2 linked regions of the Stegostoma tigrinum genome follow. The protein of the gene in region 1 interacts with the protein of each later gene in a pairwise test. Links are inferred from orthologs where the notes say so. Each region holds a gene or a part of one and is shown in the gene's direction. Other genes may lie near its edges.

Evidence for each region. The genes of interacting proteins can lie anywhere in the genome.
Region 2: the proteins of cdh31 (region 1) and E3 ubiquitin-protein ligase Hakai interact in a two-hybrid assay, tested with the Homo sapiens proteins (2 studies listed by BioGRID, with this or other methods). The link is inferred for Stegostoma tigrinum from reciprocal best matches to the Homo sapiens genes CDH1 and CBLL1.

Annotation. Positions count from the first base shown.
Region 1 is NC_081369.1:40,081,971-40,089,833, forward strand, and holds the start of cdh31 (B-cadherin), read left to right. Parts: upstream 1-4,485; 5' UTR 4,486-4,579; coding exon 4,580-4,726; intron 4,727-5,003; coding exon 5,004-5,103; intron 5,104-7,863.
Region 2 is NC_081378.1:53,897,629-53,905,619, reverse strand, and holds the start of E3 ubiquitin-protein ligase Hakai, read left to right. Parts: upstream 1-4,334; 5' UTR 4,335-4,367; coding exon 4,368-4,377; intron 4,378-4,475; exon of another isoform or gene 4,476-4,583; intron 4,584-7,318; coding exon 7,319-7,486; intron 7,487-7,991. UniProt on the Homo sapiens protein: E3 ubiquitin-protein ligase that mediates ubiquitination of several tyrosine-phosphorylated Src substrates, including CDH1, CTTN and DOK1. Targets CDH1 for endocytosis and degradation.

The DNA of each region.
Region 1 (7,863 bases):
ACCCTATCTAATCCTCCGTTGGTCTTACATAAGTAAACTCTGTGGCTAATTAAGATTTGGATTTTTTTGTTTATTCATATAGGCATCACTGCCTAGGCCAGAATTTATTGCCCATTCCTAATTGCCCAGACAGCAGTTAAGAGTCAATCACATTACTGTAGGCCAGACCAGGTAAGAATGGCAGATGTCCTTCCCTAAAGCACATTTGTGATCCATGTTTTTTTTGTGACGACTAAAGGACAGTGGTTATACTGTCACCATTAATGATAGCTTTTTATTCTAGGATTTTATTGAATTACAATGTCATCATCTGCCAGAATACTGAATTCAAGTACTAGATTACTATCGCACTGACATCACCACTACACCATAATTGTGTACATTCAAGCACCGGGAAGATGTTGTTTGAGGCACATCTTAAAGTCTAATAAATGGCAAGATTTTTGTTTCATCTCAAGATTCTACAGCTTGACATGATTAATAAGAAAAAACATTCTAAAAATGGTGCAGTAAATTATTTTAGACTGATGATTAATTATTGGGATGGATATCTGTTAAGGATTGCCTGTGAATAGTGACAAGTATCTGCACAAACATCAGAATTATGACTGATTATACTAGATTGTTTCAGTGATTGACAAGAAATTTGGCTTACATCTATGTAAAACCTGACCTCTTCTTCCAAGCATTCAAAAGTATTCCAGTCAGTGATTACACTAATCATTTTATGAGGTACAAAGCAATTTGGTTTTGGTAGTAACAGTTAAGAGACAAATATTGGACAACTTCAGCTTTATATAGTTGTATATGATCTATGCAGCCTTGCTGGAGCAGGGAGGACACAATTTTATTTATCATGTAAATGGCACACCCTTGAAAATACAGCACCTGCCAATTCTTGACTTGAAGACTATTTTATAATACTATATGTAATTTTTTTACTAGGTCATATGCTACATGTACAGGCATGCAAGTAATAGGGTACTGTTGAGTCAGCCTGCAGATAGAAACCAATTCTCTAACAAGAACACAAAGCACAAAGTGTTGGAAAAGAGCCTAATGTGGCACCAACAACTTCAAAGTAAGCTGATATATTGCACAATAATCTGTGTTGCAAACTGTGAAATTCCTTTCACAGGACTGCAGCAAGAGCTCATGAGATCAGGTGTTAGTACACTGGCGCAGGGGAGAGGAATATTCCTACCCCATCCCATTACAGCAACAATTTTCATAAGAAAATGATCAAATTCAATGTTAATGTTTGCTTTGGTAAAGGGAATTCAGAATTTTTTTAATCTTAGGCATTCCTTAAGATCCCAAGCCAGCTACAGAATTAAATTTTGCACAGAGATGTGGTAAGCTGGAAAGGCTTTCTAAGTACTGACACATCGGTGTTAGAATCAAAACAGGCTCCCAACCCCACATACCAGGATCAATATGTATTAAGACTGACTTTTTTGCTCCCCAATCCAGGCATCTGCCAATCCTAAACAGTGAGTGTACAAATATACCCTACAAGCTAATAACTATGTTTATTCTGTCCCAATTTCAGAATATCTAGGGTAAAATTGAAAAACTGCAAATAGAAAGTGGCAGGGACTAGGAAGTGTACACACACAGGCATGTTCAATTTCCTCCTTCATCAGCAATGTTGGTGATTTAGGCAGTGCAAAGATTCTTGCATTCGCAACAGGCAAGTGTCACTGTGTGAGCAACTCAGTTGAAGCTTTGGGTAAAGATAGATAAAAATGCCCTGTTGATTAACTTTCCAATCAGCATGGCTACAAAAGCATCATTTCTCTTTCCATTTCTGGATTAGATGCAGCGCAGCAACTGTTTCAGGATTACATTTCACACCAAAAGCCACATCCTCACAGACACATTAGTTGATCACAGAAACTTTAACTGCATCGTTCTTAAATAGTTTAGAGAATGTTTCCTCTGGTACATAGACTCCATGTGGTGACATCCAAATATATTGATAAAGATTTCCTCTGTTTGCTATTTCTAACAACGTTGTAAACACATTGAAAAATATTTTTATTGATTCACTCCACACCGTAAACAGAGCAAGGCCTGAAAGCTTATTTGTACAGTTCTCATTTTTCAGCCACGCCTGACATTGGTCTTCCTCATTAGTATATAAGTGCTCAATGTTTTGTGGCCTTCCCACTGGTTGCTTACATTGCATGCAGTCAATGCTGCATCTGGAACACGCCTCAATTGAGGAATGATCCAATTTCTCAGCCAAAACCCTCATAAATGTGTGATTGACCACAAGAACTCGAACTACATCATCCTTGTTTGGCTGCGTGCTCACCAATCCCAACACTTCCTGCTGAAAATCTTGCTGACATAACTAATAGTCCTCTGGGCAAGGTACCAACAAGATATGTCTGTGTTGATTCTAATGCATTACCCCTCTTTATTCCCTTCGATCTCTGCAAAGTCCCAGTCCTCTTCCACTGCCTCACTGCCATACCACCAGCCTCCAGCTGCAGCCAGTACATTGTTTCACTCTACTTAACAGGATATATCCTTTTGAAGCCATTGTCCAGTGATTCCCAGAGTGGAAGTAATCTAAGTAGATGTACTCTGAGGTCAATTTGTGACTACTTGTTTGTGATTTTACATATAAATGAATTTGGGAGCATTTTCTGTCAATTGCAACCTACAAATCCAGGTCTACGCCCTTTAGGGAGATAACTCTACTGCAGATTTAGCAGATGTGGGAGGACATCACCACCTTCAAATTCCCTTCAAAACACATACTCTCTTGACTTGGAAATGTATTGCTGTTGCTTCACTGTCCCTGGGTCATTACCATGGAACTCCCACCCTAACAGTATAGGTGGTTTACTTTGATTACACAGACTGCAGCAGTTCAATAAAGGAAGAAATTATTTACATTTACTGCCTTTTAAATTTTAGCTATGATGAAATGTCACAGATATCTACTAAATAGAGTCATACAGCATGGAAATAGACCCTTTCGTCCAACTCGTCTATGCCTACCAGATATCCTGAATTTATCTAGGTGTGGAGCTGGAGGAACATGGCAGCCCAGGCAGCATCAGAGAAGCAGGAAAGCTTCTCTGATGCTGCGTGGCCTGCTGTGTTCCTCCAGCTCCACACCTTGTTACCTCAGACTCCAGCATCAGCAGTTCCTACTATTCCTGAATTTATCTAATCCCATTTGACAGCTTTTGGCCCGTATCTCTCTTAACCCTTCCTATTCATATACCCACGCAGAAGCCTTTTAAATGTTGTCATTGTAACAGCCTCCATCACTTCCTCTGGCAGCTCATTCCATGCACACACCACCCTCTGGGTGAAAATGTTGCCCCGTAGGTCCCTTTTAAATCTTTCTCCTCACATAAAACCTATGCCCTCCAGTTTTGGACTCCTCCACCCTGGGGAAATGACCTTGTCTATTCACTATATCTATGCCTCCTCATCATTTTACAAACTTCTATAAGCCTCTGATGCTCCAGGGAAAATAGCCCCAGTCCATTTAGCCTCTCCCTATTGCTCAAACACTCCAACCCTGGCAGCATCTTTGTAAATCTTTACTGAACACTTAAAACTTTAACAACATCGAATGCAGTATTCCAAAAGAGCCCCAACCAACGTTCTGCACATCAGTATCATGACCTCCCAACTCCTTTACTCAAAGCAACAAAGGCAAGCAGGCTAAATCCCGTCTTCACTATCCTATGTACCTGCGGACTCTACTGTCAAGCAGCAAGTGTTTATATACAGACACAATAGTTGCATGATGATGTCCTGGTTGGAAAAAAAAACACTGAATAAGGTTTTCTGTATTTGAAACAACGGCATGTATTTCTAAAGCACGTTTAACAGTTGTAAGGAGTGTCCTGAAAGGGGTACAAAAGGACGGGGAGATTTCGAGATTAACTTCTAATGAAGGAGAATCTGCTAAAGTTGACTCAATTAACATCGGGGCTGCTGATCCACGCCAGAAACAAGGGAGGGTTGATGAAAGACTAAATTTCGCTAGACTGCCCTCCTCTCTAGAAATTCTGGTTTACAGAGAAATGACTCCTATACATTTCATCATCTAGAATGGCTTCACGATAGACAATATCTGAACTTGAATTCTCTCCAAATATGCAGAACAGTTGCCTTAAGTTAGCACTGTCTACTCCAGTCACCCTTGTTTGGAATGTAACCTCCTTTTTCACCGATCTGTGCTGGGGTCAAACTCGACATTAATGCAGGCGCTGCCCAGATCCACAGTACACAAATGGGATTGATGCCAACTTTCCAAGAGGCCGCTGTCCAGATAGTTTACACTTAGCAAGTTATTTTGATGCCCGCTCCTTCCAGTAAACGGCATCATTTCCGCCACCTTCCCCTGAAACTGGGAGTGGGGGAATTTATTACAACAGTTTCAATCACTGGGAGCTGAGAGCGTCGGTGCGTCGCCGCCGCCTTTACCTGACGCCAGCTTTACCCAAAATTGGATACAAGCATCCGGGCGTCAGCCAATGAGAGAGAAACTCACCTGGAGACGTCACCTGGATTGGCAGCGATTGGCTTCCAGTTTTGGAGAAGGATGGTGATCGGAGAGAAGGGGAAAGTCAGTGAGAACGAGGAGGTGGAATTCAGAGGCAACAGGCACAACGCGTTTTGGAAACTGACTCGTAACCCAATGGGGAGTTACAGGCTGTCGTTTCTGGGGATAGTCACCCTCCTGCTCCAGGTGAGTGAGTTCTACTTCTCACGAGGTTAGACCGTGTACATCTGAATTCTGGCGAAGGGAGGGGGGCAAGACCTCCGGTTTGTTACACGGTTCCCCTAGCCCTGCACTCCATATCTTCAGTTTCGTATCAATTTCATTATCGGCTGAGCTTTCATCCGAGCGAGTGCGAATTATCCCCGTTGCCGCGGCGGGGGACCCGGTGTGAGCTGTAAACGGAGGGGAAGGATGGATTTGTGTTTGGTACTTTTATTTGATGTTAACCTGTCCGTATCCACAGGTTTGGAGCGGCGAGGCATCGACTGGATGTAAAGGGTTCGAGCCAAAGAGCTACACTTTCAGGGAGCCGTCAGTGGAGGTGGGACAAGTTCTGGGCAGAGGTAAGAGTTCAGGAAAGTACGTGAGGATCGGCGGGGATTTCACACGGAGAAATGCGGAAGCGAGACTGAGAACCTTGGGGGTGGGAACACAGAAAAGGGATCGAGAATCCTTTCCGGATCCCTAAGAAAAAGGGATCCAGTGAGAAGGAATTGAATTTTTTTTAAAAGTGCCCTCGGTTGTAGAAGAATCCGAGATCCCGTTTCTTTTCGCAACCCCCCTCTCTTTTACCGGAGGAATTGGTGATAAATACATTCACAGAGAATATCTGCTGCCTGTGTTGAGGGCGGTGGCTGGACTTTCGATTCTGCTGGTCTCGCCTTTTGTTCAACTTCTTGTTCAATCTTCAACTATAGCCGTGCTACCTTTTATATTCCCAAATTCTCCAATATTGGCAAGGAAATTTCAGGTTTTAACATGAGTGGGGACCCTGTTTGTTTCCTAGTGGACTGTTTGTGTTTCGAGTGCAGTGAAAGGAAGGAGAGCTCGGATGAGAGAGTTCTATCAGCGTTTCTACACTAACAACCCCCTGATCTAATCTAAAGAGGTCTCGAGTGTGTGTCATAGATATTATTTTAATTTCTCTACAAAATTTTAACTAATCATGGTGCACAATGCTGTGGTCAGTGAATTACTGTTACTAACATCTGCTCAGTACAGCTAAGTCGGAGAAACACGTTGTCAAAATCACCCTAAGGCTTGTACAAAATTAATTTAATTTTCTGGGAAAAGCCCCGGAACACTCTTTTAGCTTCCAAACAGCCCCGATCAGATTATAATGCGTTTTACCAACTAGGTGATCCCTTTTAAAGCACTGAATTATCTCTTTTACGTTTTAACCAGCTGTCCTATTTTTCATTCTATAAATTCCTGCTAACTTCATTCAGGGGAAATTGGTAATTGATTCCATTGTTTGCTCCTTATTTTCTCTACTTGTTGAAATCCCCTGTGTGATGACTTGATTTAATTTTACAAAATGGATGCCACCCAAGTTTCACAAAACAAAGTCCAGCTCACCTGAAAATGTCTTCTGCCTGTCGGAGAATAGGGCCACTAAAACAAATACTTTCTATCAAAGGTTTTCTGTCCCTCGACTGAAATTAATTGGTCAGTCTTTGGAGAAACTGAACTTTGAAGTCCTTGGATTTCAGTTGAGATTTGTTCTCCAAAGTTTCTGAGGTCCCTTTGGGGAACGTACTTATGGCTTTCATTGTGGAAACAGCCAAGACATTTTCTTAAAAACTCGTGTGGGTGGCCTGTCAGAAATTACTGCTGTCTCATCAACACATTTTAATTTGGTGTCACATTGCACTCTGACTTATTTATAGAAGTCAAATTGACAACAAAAAAACTTTTTCCAGTTATTCAATCAAGTGCTACATTCCAATGTCAATGAACGAGATTTGCTGTCTGTACACAGTTTATGCGCATGCCCTCTCTGTATTATCAGGATAAATATAAATGACTCAAATATTATTCCAAACCAAGACTACAAAGCATGCAGATGAAGTGGTTTATTGTGAAGAGGGATTTGTGTGCGTTGAAGAGATTCGTTATTATGCATGAATTGGGTAGTCAAAATGCTGTAAAGACTTTCTGAACACATGACAAAATAATGTGTCCAATCTTGCGTGTCTGTTTTCTTGCCAATTGTTTTACTATGTTTGTCTCTAGTCAATTTAAATTCTCGTGATTTTTGTTTATGTTCGTCATTTCACGGTGATCAGGACAACAAAAGCGTGAAGAGTTGTATAACAAGGAAAATGGTTCCTTTTCATTTACTGCAACTGGTATTTTGGCTTTTAGAGATGATAGGAACTGCAGATGCTGGAGAATCTGAGATAACAAGATGAGAGGCTGGATGTACACAGCAGGCCAAGCAGCATCTCAGGAGCAGGAAAGCTGACATTGTGGGCCTAAACACGAATAAGACTAATAATCTCCTTCATTCTTTTGAAATAAAAAAAACGATTTTTCTGATGAGGGGTCTAGGCCCAAAACGTCAGCATTCCTGCTCAGCCTCCTGTGTTCATCCAGCTCCACACGTTGTTATCTTGGCTTTTAGAGATGAATGTACTTTTGTTTCAATGTTTTTTGATGTAATGTATGATAGCTCATATACTGTGGGAAATGACAAGTCTTGCCACTTCATTTCACTCTGTATGCCTTTATCATGTAAGCCAAAACTTGAGTTATAGTGGAAATAGTCAGTGGTGTGTCTCCAAATGCATGCTTATGATGCTTGAGTGTCTGATATTGAGCTACGAGCTGATGCTTTTTCCTAGAAATCCTTTCTACCCTGTAATAATTTAAATTTAATTTTAAAATTAATTTAAAACTTAATACATTTGATTAATTTTGATACATCTTTTTTTGGGCAGGCTGTTGTTTTGTTAATTGCCTCTGTTTTCAACCTCTTGTATTTGTCATTATCCTAAGTAAATTTGTATGTTTTTTAGTTTTGTCTTGTTGTTCCCCTCTCTGAGCGAAGCAGAGCATATGTCAATTTTATCATTTAAACTACTACTCTGAGGTTAGCTAACACAGTCTATAACAGAAATCCTTTGGCCTCTTGGGCTTAGCTGTACACTCAGGATTTAAAATAATGTCTTCTCTTCACTCTGATCTAATGCATACCTAGTTCTCCAGAACAAATGATCTGAAAGAATAGGTAACAAATAGTAATGTAGATTGAGATTAACATATTGATTAAACAATGAGAAGAACTTGCTACACTTTGGGTTGTACCATGAATTTCTTTA
Region 2 (7,991 bases), on another chromosome or scaffold:
CTCTCTTGCACTCTCTCACACCACCTCTATTTCTCCTCTCTTGCACTCTCTCACACCACCTCTCTCTATTTCTTCTCTCTTGCATGTCTCACTCCACGTCCCTCTCTCTCTATTGCTCCTCTCTTGCACTCCCTCACTCCACCCCTCTCTCTCTCTATTTCTCCTCTCTTGCACTCTCTCACACCACCTCTCTCTCTCTCTCTATTTCTCCTCTCTTGCATTCTATCACACCATCACTCTCTGTTTCTCCTCTCTTGCATCTCTCACTCCACCTCTCTCTCTCCCTCTCTCTGTATTTCTCCTCCCTTGCATCTCTCACTCCACCTCTCCCCGTGTATTTCTCCTCTCTCGCACTCTCTCACTCCACCCCTCTCTCTCTATTTCTCCTCTCTTGCATACTCTCACTCCACCTCACTCTCTATTTCTCCTCTCTTGCACTCTCTCACTCCACCTCTCTCTCTGTCTCTATTTCTCCTCTCCTGCACTCTCTCACTCCACCTCTCTCTATTTTTCCTCTCTTGCGCTCTCACTCCATCTCTCTCTCTCTCTATTTCTCCTCACTCGCACTCTCTCACTCAATCTCTCTCTCTCTCCACTTCTCCTCTCTTGCACTCTCTCACTCCACCTCTCTCTCTCTCTCTCTCTATTTCTCCTCTCTTGCATCTCTCACGCCACCTCTCTCTCTCTCTATTTCTCCTCTCTTGCACTCTCTCACTCAACCTCTCTCTCTCTATTTCTCCTCTCTTGCATCTCTCACTCCACCTCTCCCCGTGTATTTCTCCTCTATTGCACTCTCTCACTCCACCTCTCTATTTCTAATCTCTAGCACTCTCTCACTCCACCTCTCTCTCTCTATTACACCTCTCTTGCACTCTCTCACTCCACCTCTCTCTCTCTCTATTTCTCCTCTCTTGCACTCCCTCACTCCATCTCTCTCTCGCTCTCTATTACACCTCTCTTGCACTCTCTCACTCCACCCCTCTCTGTCTATTTCTCCTCTCTTGCACTCTCTCACTCCACCTCTCTCTCTCTATTTCTCCCCTCTTGCACTCTCTCACTCCACCTCTCTCTCTCAACTTCTCCTCTCTTGCACTCTCTCACTCCATCTTTCTCTATTTCTCCTCTCTTGCATCTCTCACGCCACCTCTCTCTCTCTCTCTCTCTATTTCTTCTCTCTTGCACTCTCTCACTCCATCTCTCTCTATTTCTCCTCTCTTGCACTCTCTCACTCCACCTCTCCCCCTCTATTTCTCCTCTCTTGCATCTCTCACTCCACCTCTCTCCCCCTCTATTTCTTCTCTCCTGCACTCTCTCACTCCATCCCTCTCTCTCTATTTCTCCTCTCTTGCATCTCTCACTCCACCTCTCTCCCCCTCTATTTCTTCTCTCTTGCACTCTCTCACTCCACCTCTCTCTCTCTCTATTTCTGCTCTCTTGCACTCGGTCACTCCATCTCTCTCTATTTCTCCTCTCTTGCACTCTCTCACTCCACCTCTCCCCCTCTATTTCTCCTCTCTTGCACTCTCTCTGTCTCTCCACTTCTCCTCTCTTGCACTCTCTCACTCCACCTCTCCCCCTCTATTTCTCCTCTCTTGCACTCTGTCTCTCCACTTCTCCTCTCTTGCACTCTCTCACTCCACCTCTTTATATTTCTTCTCTCTTGCATGTCTCACTCCACCTCCCTCTCTCTCTATTTCTCCTCACTTGCACTCTCTCACTCCATCTCTCTCTATTTCTCCTCTCTCGCGCTCTCTCACTCCACCTCTCTCTCTCTATTTCTCCTCTCTTGCACTCTCTCACTCCATCTCGCTCTCTCTCTCCCTCCATTTCTCCTCTCTTGCACTCGCTCACTCCACCTCTCTGTCTCTCCACTTCTCCTCACTTGCATTCTCTCACTCCACCTCTCACTCTCTCTATTTCTCCTCTCTTGCATCTCTAACTCCACCTCTCTCCACCTCTATTTCTTCTCTCTTGCACTCTCTCACTCCATCTCTCTCTCTCGCTCTATTTCTCCTCTCTCGCACTCTCTCACTCCACTTCTCTCTCTCTCTCTATTTCTCCTCACGCACTCTCACAGTCCACCTCTCTCTCTCTCTCTCTCTCTATTTCTCCTCTCTTGCATCTCTCACTCGACCTCTCTCTCTCTATTTCTCCTCTCTTGCATCTCTCACTCGACCTCTCTCTCTCTACTTCTCCTCTCTTGCACTCTCTCACTCCAGCTCTCTCTCTCTCTCTCTCTCTCTCTATTTCTCCTCTCTTGCACTCTCTCACACCACCTCTCTCTATTTCTTCTCTCTTGCATGTCTCACTCCACGTCCCTCTCTCTCTCTATTGCTCCTCTCTTGCACTCCCTCACTCCACCTCTCTCTCTCTCTATTTCTCCTCTCTTGCGCTCTCTCACTCCACCTCTCTCTCTATTTCTCCTCTCTTGCATCTCTCACTCCACCTCTCTCTCTCTATTTCTCTTCGCTTGCACTCTCTCACTCGAGCTCTCAGCCTCTATTTCTCCTCTCTTGCACTCTCTCACTCCACCTCTCTCTACTTCTCCTCTCTTGCACTCTCTCACTCCAGCTCTCTCACTCTCTCTATTTCTCCTCTCTCGCACTCTCTCACTCCACCTCACTCTCTGTCCATTTCTCCTCTCTTCCACTCTCTCACTCCACCCCTCTCTCTCTATTTCTCATCTCTTGCACTCTCTCACTCCACCTCTCCCCCTCTATTTCTCCTCTCTTGCACTCTCTGTCTCTCCACTTCTCCTCTCTTGCACTCTCTCACTCCACCTCTTTATATTTCTTCTCTCTTGCATGTCTCACTCCACCTCCCTCTCTCTCTATTTCTCCTCACTTGCACTCTCTCACTCCACCTCTCTCTCGCTATTTCTCCTCACCTGCACTCGCTCACTCCACGTCTCTCTTTCTATTTCTCCTCTCTTACATCTCTCACTCCACCTCTCCCCGTCTATTTCTCCTCTCTTGCACTCTTTCACTCCACCTCTCTCTCGACTTCTCCTCTCTTGCACTCTCTCACTCCATCTCTCTCTATTTCTCCTCTCTCGCGCTCTCTCACTCCACCTCTCTCTCTCTCTCCCTCCATTTCTCCTCTCTTGCACTCGCTCACTCCATCTCTATTTCTCCTCTCTTGCACTCTCTCACTCCACCTCTCTGTCTCTCCACTTCTCCTCACTTGCACTCTCTCACTCCACCTCTCACTCTCTCTATTTCTCCTCTCTTGCACTCTCTCACTCAACCTCTCTCTCTCTATTTCTCCTCTCTTGCATCTCTCACTCCACCTCTCCCCGTGTATTTCTCCTCTATTGCACTCTCTCACTCCACCTCTCTATTTCTAATCTCTAGCACTCTCTCACTCCACCTCTCTCTCTCTATTACACCTCTCTTGCACTCTCTCACTCCACCTCTCTCTCTCTCTATTTCTCCTCTCTTGCACTCCCTCACTCCATCTCTCTCTCGCTCTCTATTACACCTCTCTTGCACTCTCTCACTCCACCCCTCTCTGTCTATTTCTCCTCTCTTGCACTCTCTCACTCCACCTCTCTCTCTCTATTTCTCCCCTCTTGCACTCTCTCACTCCACCTCTCTCTCTCAACTTCTCCTCTCTTGCACTCTCTCACTCCATCTTCCTCTATTTCTCCTCTCTTGCATCTCTCACGCCACCTCTCTCTCTATCTATTTCTCCTCTCTTGCACTCTTTCACTCCACCTCTCTCTCTATTTCTCCTCTCTTGCACTCTCTCACTCCATCTCTCTCTATGTCTCCTCTCTTGCACCGTCTCACTGCACCTCTCTCTTTATGTCTCCTCTCGCGCTCTCTCACTCCACCTCTCTCTCTATTTCTTCTGTCGCACTCTCGCACTCCACCTCTCCCTCCCTCTCTTGTCTCCCCCCCCCCCCTCCCCCTCCCCCTCCCCCCCCTCCCCCTCCCCCCCCTCCCCCTCCCCCTCCCCCCCCCCTCCCCCCCCCCCCCCCCCTCCCCCCCCCCCCCTCCCCCTCCCCCCCCCCTCCCCCTCCCCCTCCCCCCCCCCCCCTCCCCCTCCCCCTCCCCCCCCCCCCCTCCCCCCCCCCCCCCCCTCCCCCTCCCCCTCCCCCTCCCCCCCCCCCCTCCCCCCCCCCCTCCTCCCCCCCCCTCCCCCCCCCCCCTCCTCCCCCCCCCTCCCCCCCCCCCCTCCTCCCCCTCCCTCCCCCCCCCCCCTCCTCCCCCCCCCTCCCCCCCCCTCCTCCCCTCCTCCCCCCCCCTCCCCCCCCCTCCTCCCCCCCCCTCGTGTGTATTGCTGCGGTTCTCCCCGCCCCGTCCCGTCTCTTGTTGCCCCGGTGACCCTCACCACGCCCCCAATCCCACAATGCTCCTCTCACCATGGATCAGGGTAATGGACGTTTTTCTCCCGCTTTCCCTTCCTCTCTCGCTTTTCCTTTCTTCTTCGCGCCGGGTTTGGGCCCCGTGCGTTCTCTCCGGTTGCTGCGGGAGGCGAGTCTGTCAACGCGCCCGACTGTGAGTAACCTCCGGCTGGAGCGGGACTGAGGCGGCTTGACGATTACTCGAGAGCGGCCTAAACCGCCCGGAGTCCCCGCGGTAAAGTGCCGGACCGCCTGTCGCTGTGATCACCACTCCCCTCCTTCCTCCCATGCACTCTCTACACCTTGATTATCCCCATCGCCCTGATCTTGCTCCGACACCCTGATCATCGCCTACTCTCATCCCACCCCCCCCGCACTCCTTCATCTTCCCCCCTCACCTCCCCCCCCCACTCCCTCACCTCCCCCCCCACTCCCTCACCTCCCCCCCCACTCCCTCACCTCCCCCCCCCAACTCCCTCACCTCCCCCCCCCACTCCCTCACCTCCCCCCCCCACTCCCTCACCTCCCCCCCCCACTCCCTCACCTCCCCCCCCCACTCCCTCACCTCCCCCCCCCACTCCCTCACCTCCCCCCCCCACTCCCTCACCTCCCCCCCCCCACTCCCTCACCTCCCCCCCCCACTCCCTCACCTCCCCCCCCCACTCCCTCACCTCCCCCCCCCTCCCTCACCTCCCCCCCCCACTCCCTCACCTCCCCCCCCACTCCCTCACCTCCCCCCCCACTCCCTCACCTCCCCCCCCACTCCCTCACCTCCCCCCCCACTCCCTCACCTCCCCCCACTCCCTCACCTCCCCCCACTCCCTCACCTCCCCCCACTCCCTCACCTCCCCCCACTCCCTCACCTCCCCCCACTCCCTCATCTCCCCCCACTCCCTCATCTCCCCCCACTCCCTCATCTCACCCCCCTCCCCCTCCTCACCTACCCCCCTCCCCCTCCTCACCCCCCCTCCCCCTCATCTCACCCCCCCTCCCCCTCATCTCACCCCCCCTCCCCCTCATCTCACCCCCCCTCCCCCTCATCTCACCCCCCCTCCCCCTCATCTCACCCCCCCTCCCCCTCATCTCACCCCCCCTCCCCCTCATCTCACTCCCCCTCCCCCTCATCTCACCCCCCCTCCCCCTCATCTCACCCCCCCTCCCCCTCATCTCACCCCCCCTCCCCCTCATCTCACCCCCCCTCCCCCTCATCTCACCCCCCCTCCCCCTCATCTCACCCCCCCTCCCCCTCATCTCACCTCCCCCTCCCCCTCACCCCCCCTCCCCCTCATCTCACCCCCCCCTCATCTCACCCCCCCCTCATCTCACCCCCCCTCCCCCTCATCTCACCCCCCCTCCCCCTCATCTCACCCCCCCTCCCCCTCATCTCACCCCCCCTCCCCCTCATCTCACCCCCCCTCCCCCTCATCTCACCCCCCCTCCCCCTCATCTCACCCCCCCTCCCCCTCATCTCACCCCCCCTACCCCTCATCTCACCCCCCCTACCCCTCATCTCACCCCCCCTACCCCTCATCTCACCCCCCCTACCCCTCATCTCACCCCCCCTACCCCTCATCTCACCCCCCCTCCCCCTCATCTCACCCCCCCTCCCCCTCATCTCACCCCCCCTCCCCCTCATCTCACCCCCCCTACCCCTCATCTCACCCCCCCTACCCCTCATCTCACCCCCCCTACCCCTCATCTCACCCCCCTCCCCCTCATCTCCCCCCCTCCCCCTCATCTCCCCCCCCCTCCCCCTCATCTCCCCCCCCTCCCCCTCATCTCCCCCCCCCCCCTCATCTCCCTCCCTCCCCCTCATCTCCCCCCCCCACTCCCTCATCTCCCCCCCCACTCCCTCATCTCCCCCCCCCACTCCCTCATCTCCCCCCCCCACTCCCTCATCTCCCCCCCCACTCCCTCATCTCCCCCCCCCCACTCCCTCATCTCCCCCCCCCCACTCCCTCATCTCCCCCCCCCCACTCCCTCATCTCCCCCCCCCCACTCCCTCATCTCCCCCCCCCCACTCCCTCATCTCCCCCCCCCCCACTCCCTCCTCTCCCCCCCCCACTCCCTCCTCTCCCCCCCACTCCCTCCTCTCCCCCCCACTCCCTCCTCTCCCCCCCACTCCCTCATCTCCCCCCCCCACTCCCTCATCTCCCCCCCCCACTCCCTCATCTCCCCCCCCACTCCCTCCTCTCCCCCCCCACTCCCTCCTCTCCCCCCCCACTCCCTCCTCTCCCCCCCACTCCCTCCTCTCCCCCCCCACTCCCTCCTCTCCCCCCCCACTCCCTCCTCTCCCCCCCCCACTCCCTCCTCTCCCCCCCCACTCCCTCCTCTCCCCCCCCACTCCCTCCTCTCCCCCCCCACTCCCTCCTCTCCCCCCCCACTCCCTCCTCTCCCCCCCCACTCCCTCCTCTCCCCCCCCACTCCCTCATCTCCCCCCCCCACTCCCTCATCTCCCCCCCCCCACTCCCTCATCTCCCCCCCCCCACTCCCTCATCTCCCCCCCCCCACTCCCTCATCTCCCCCCCCCACTCCCTCATCTCCCCCCCCCACTCCCTCATCTCCCCCCCCCACTCCCTCATCTCCCCCCCCACTCCCTCATCTCCCCCCCCACTCCCTCATCTCCCCCCCCACTCCCTCATCTCCCCCCCCCACTCCCTCATCTCCCCCCCCCCACTCCCTCATCTCCCCCGATCTCCTTCCCACCCGCTGATCCCCACCCTGATCCCCCCCGACCCCACCCTGATCCCCCCCCGACTCCTCTTCCCTCACCCTTGTATAGCCCTCTCCCTCTTCCACGATGCCCTCTTATCCCACTTTCTCCCCTGCACCCTTTCCCCCAGACCCCTCCCATACCCTACCCTACCCATTCTTTCCTCCCCCCTTTGCACTCCCCCACCTCCAGCCGCCAGTATTGCGCATAAGCAGAAAGTCATGTATTTAAGACGTTTTTTGTTTTATTTTCAAAAGATAAAGATCTGCAAGGCACAGATGGTTCTGGATGTCTGAGTGGCATTGATGTTCGAAGACGTATCCCCATCAAGTTAATCTCTAAACAGTCTAACCGAAATAGAATCTCATCCCGTGTTCAGAGGAATATGAGCAGAAACTCTGCAAAGTCTCTCACTGCAGATGAAGGTGACAGGATGATAGCTTCATTACAAAATCAGGTTAAAAAGTGGTGTGGATTTTGTTAGGCGCACTTGCTTGGGGAGAATTACAGAATGATTACAGCAGAATAACGCACTGACCCCTGCCGCCTCCTTGTAACTCTGCAAACTTTTCAGCTGCTTGAATCTGCCTCCAAAATCTGTTATTGTAGTGGATTCTAGATCCTAACCACGCACTGTGTTTTAAAAATATGCTGTCTTAGCCTTGTTCTTTCTCTATGCACTTTAAATGTGTATTTTCTGTTGTTTGAATCATTTCACCATTGAGAGTAATTTCTGTCCATCTACTTTGTGGAATCCCTACAGTGTGGAAGCAGGCCATTCGGCCCGTTGAGCAAAGACTGATCGTCCAGCAGGAGCATCTAGACTCTGCATCCTACCCTATCCCTGTAGCCCATAGCTAATCCACCTAGTTTACACATCCATCGACACTAGACACATTATAGCTTGGCAAATCCCCCTAATCTGTACAG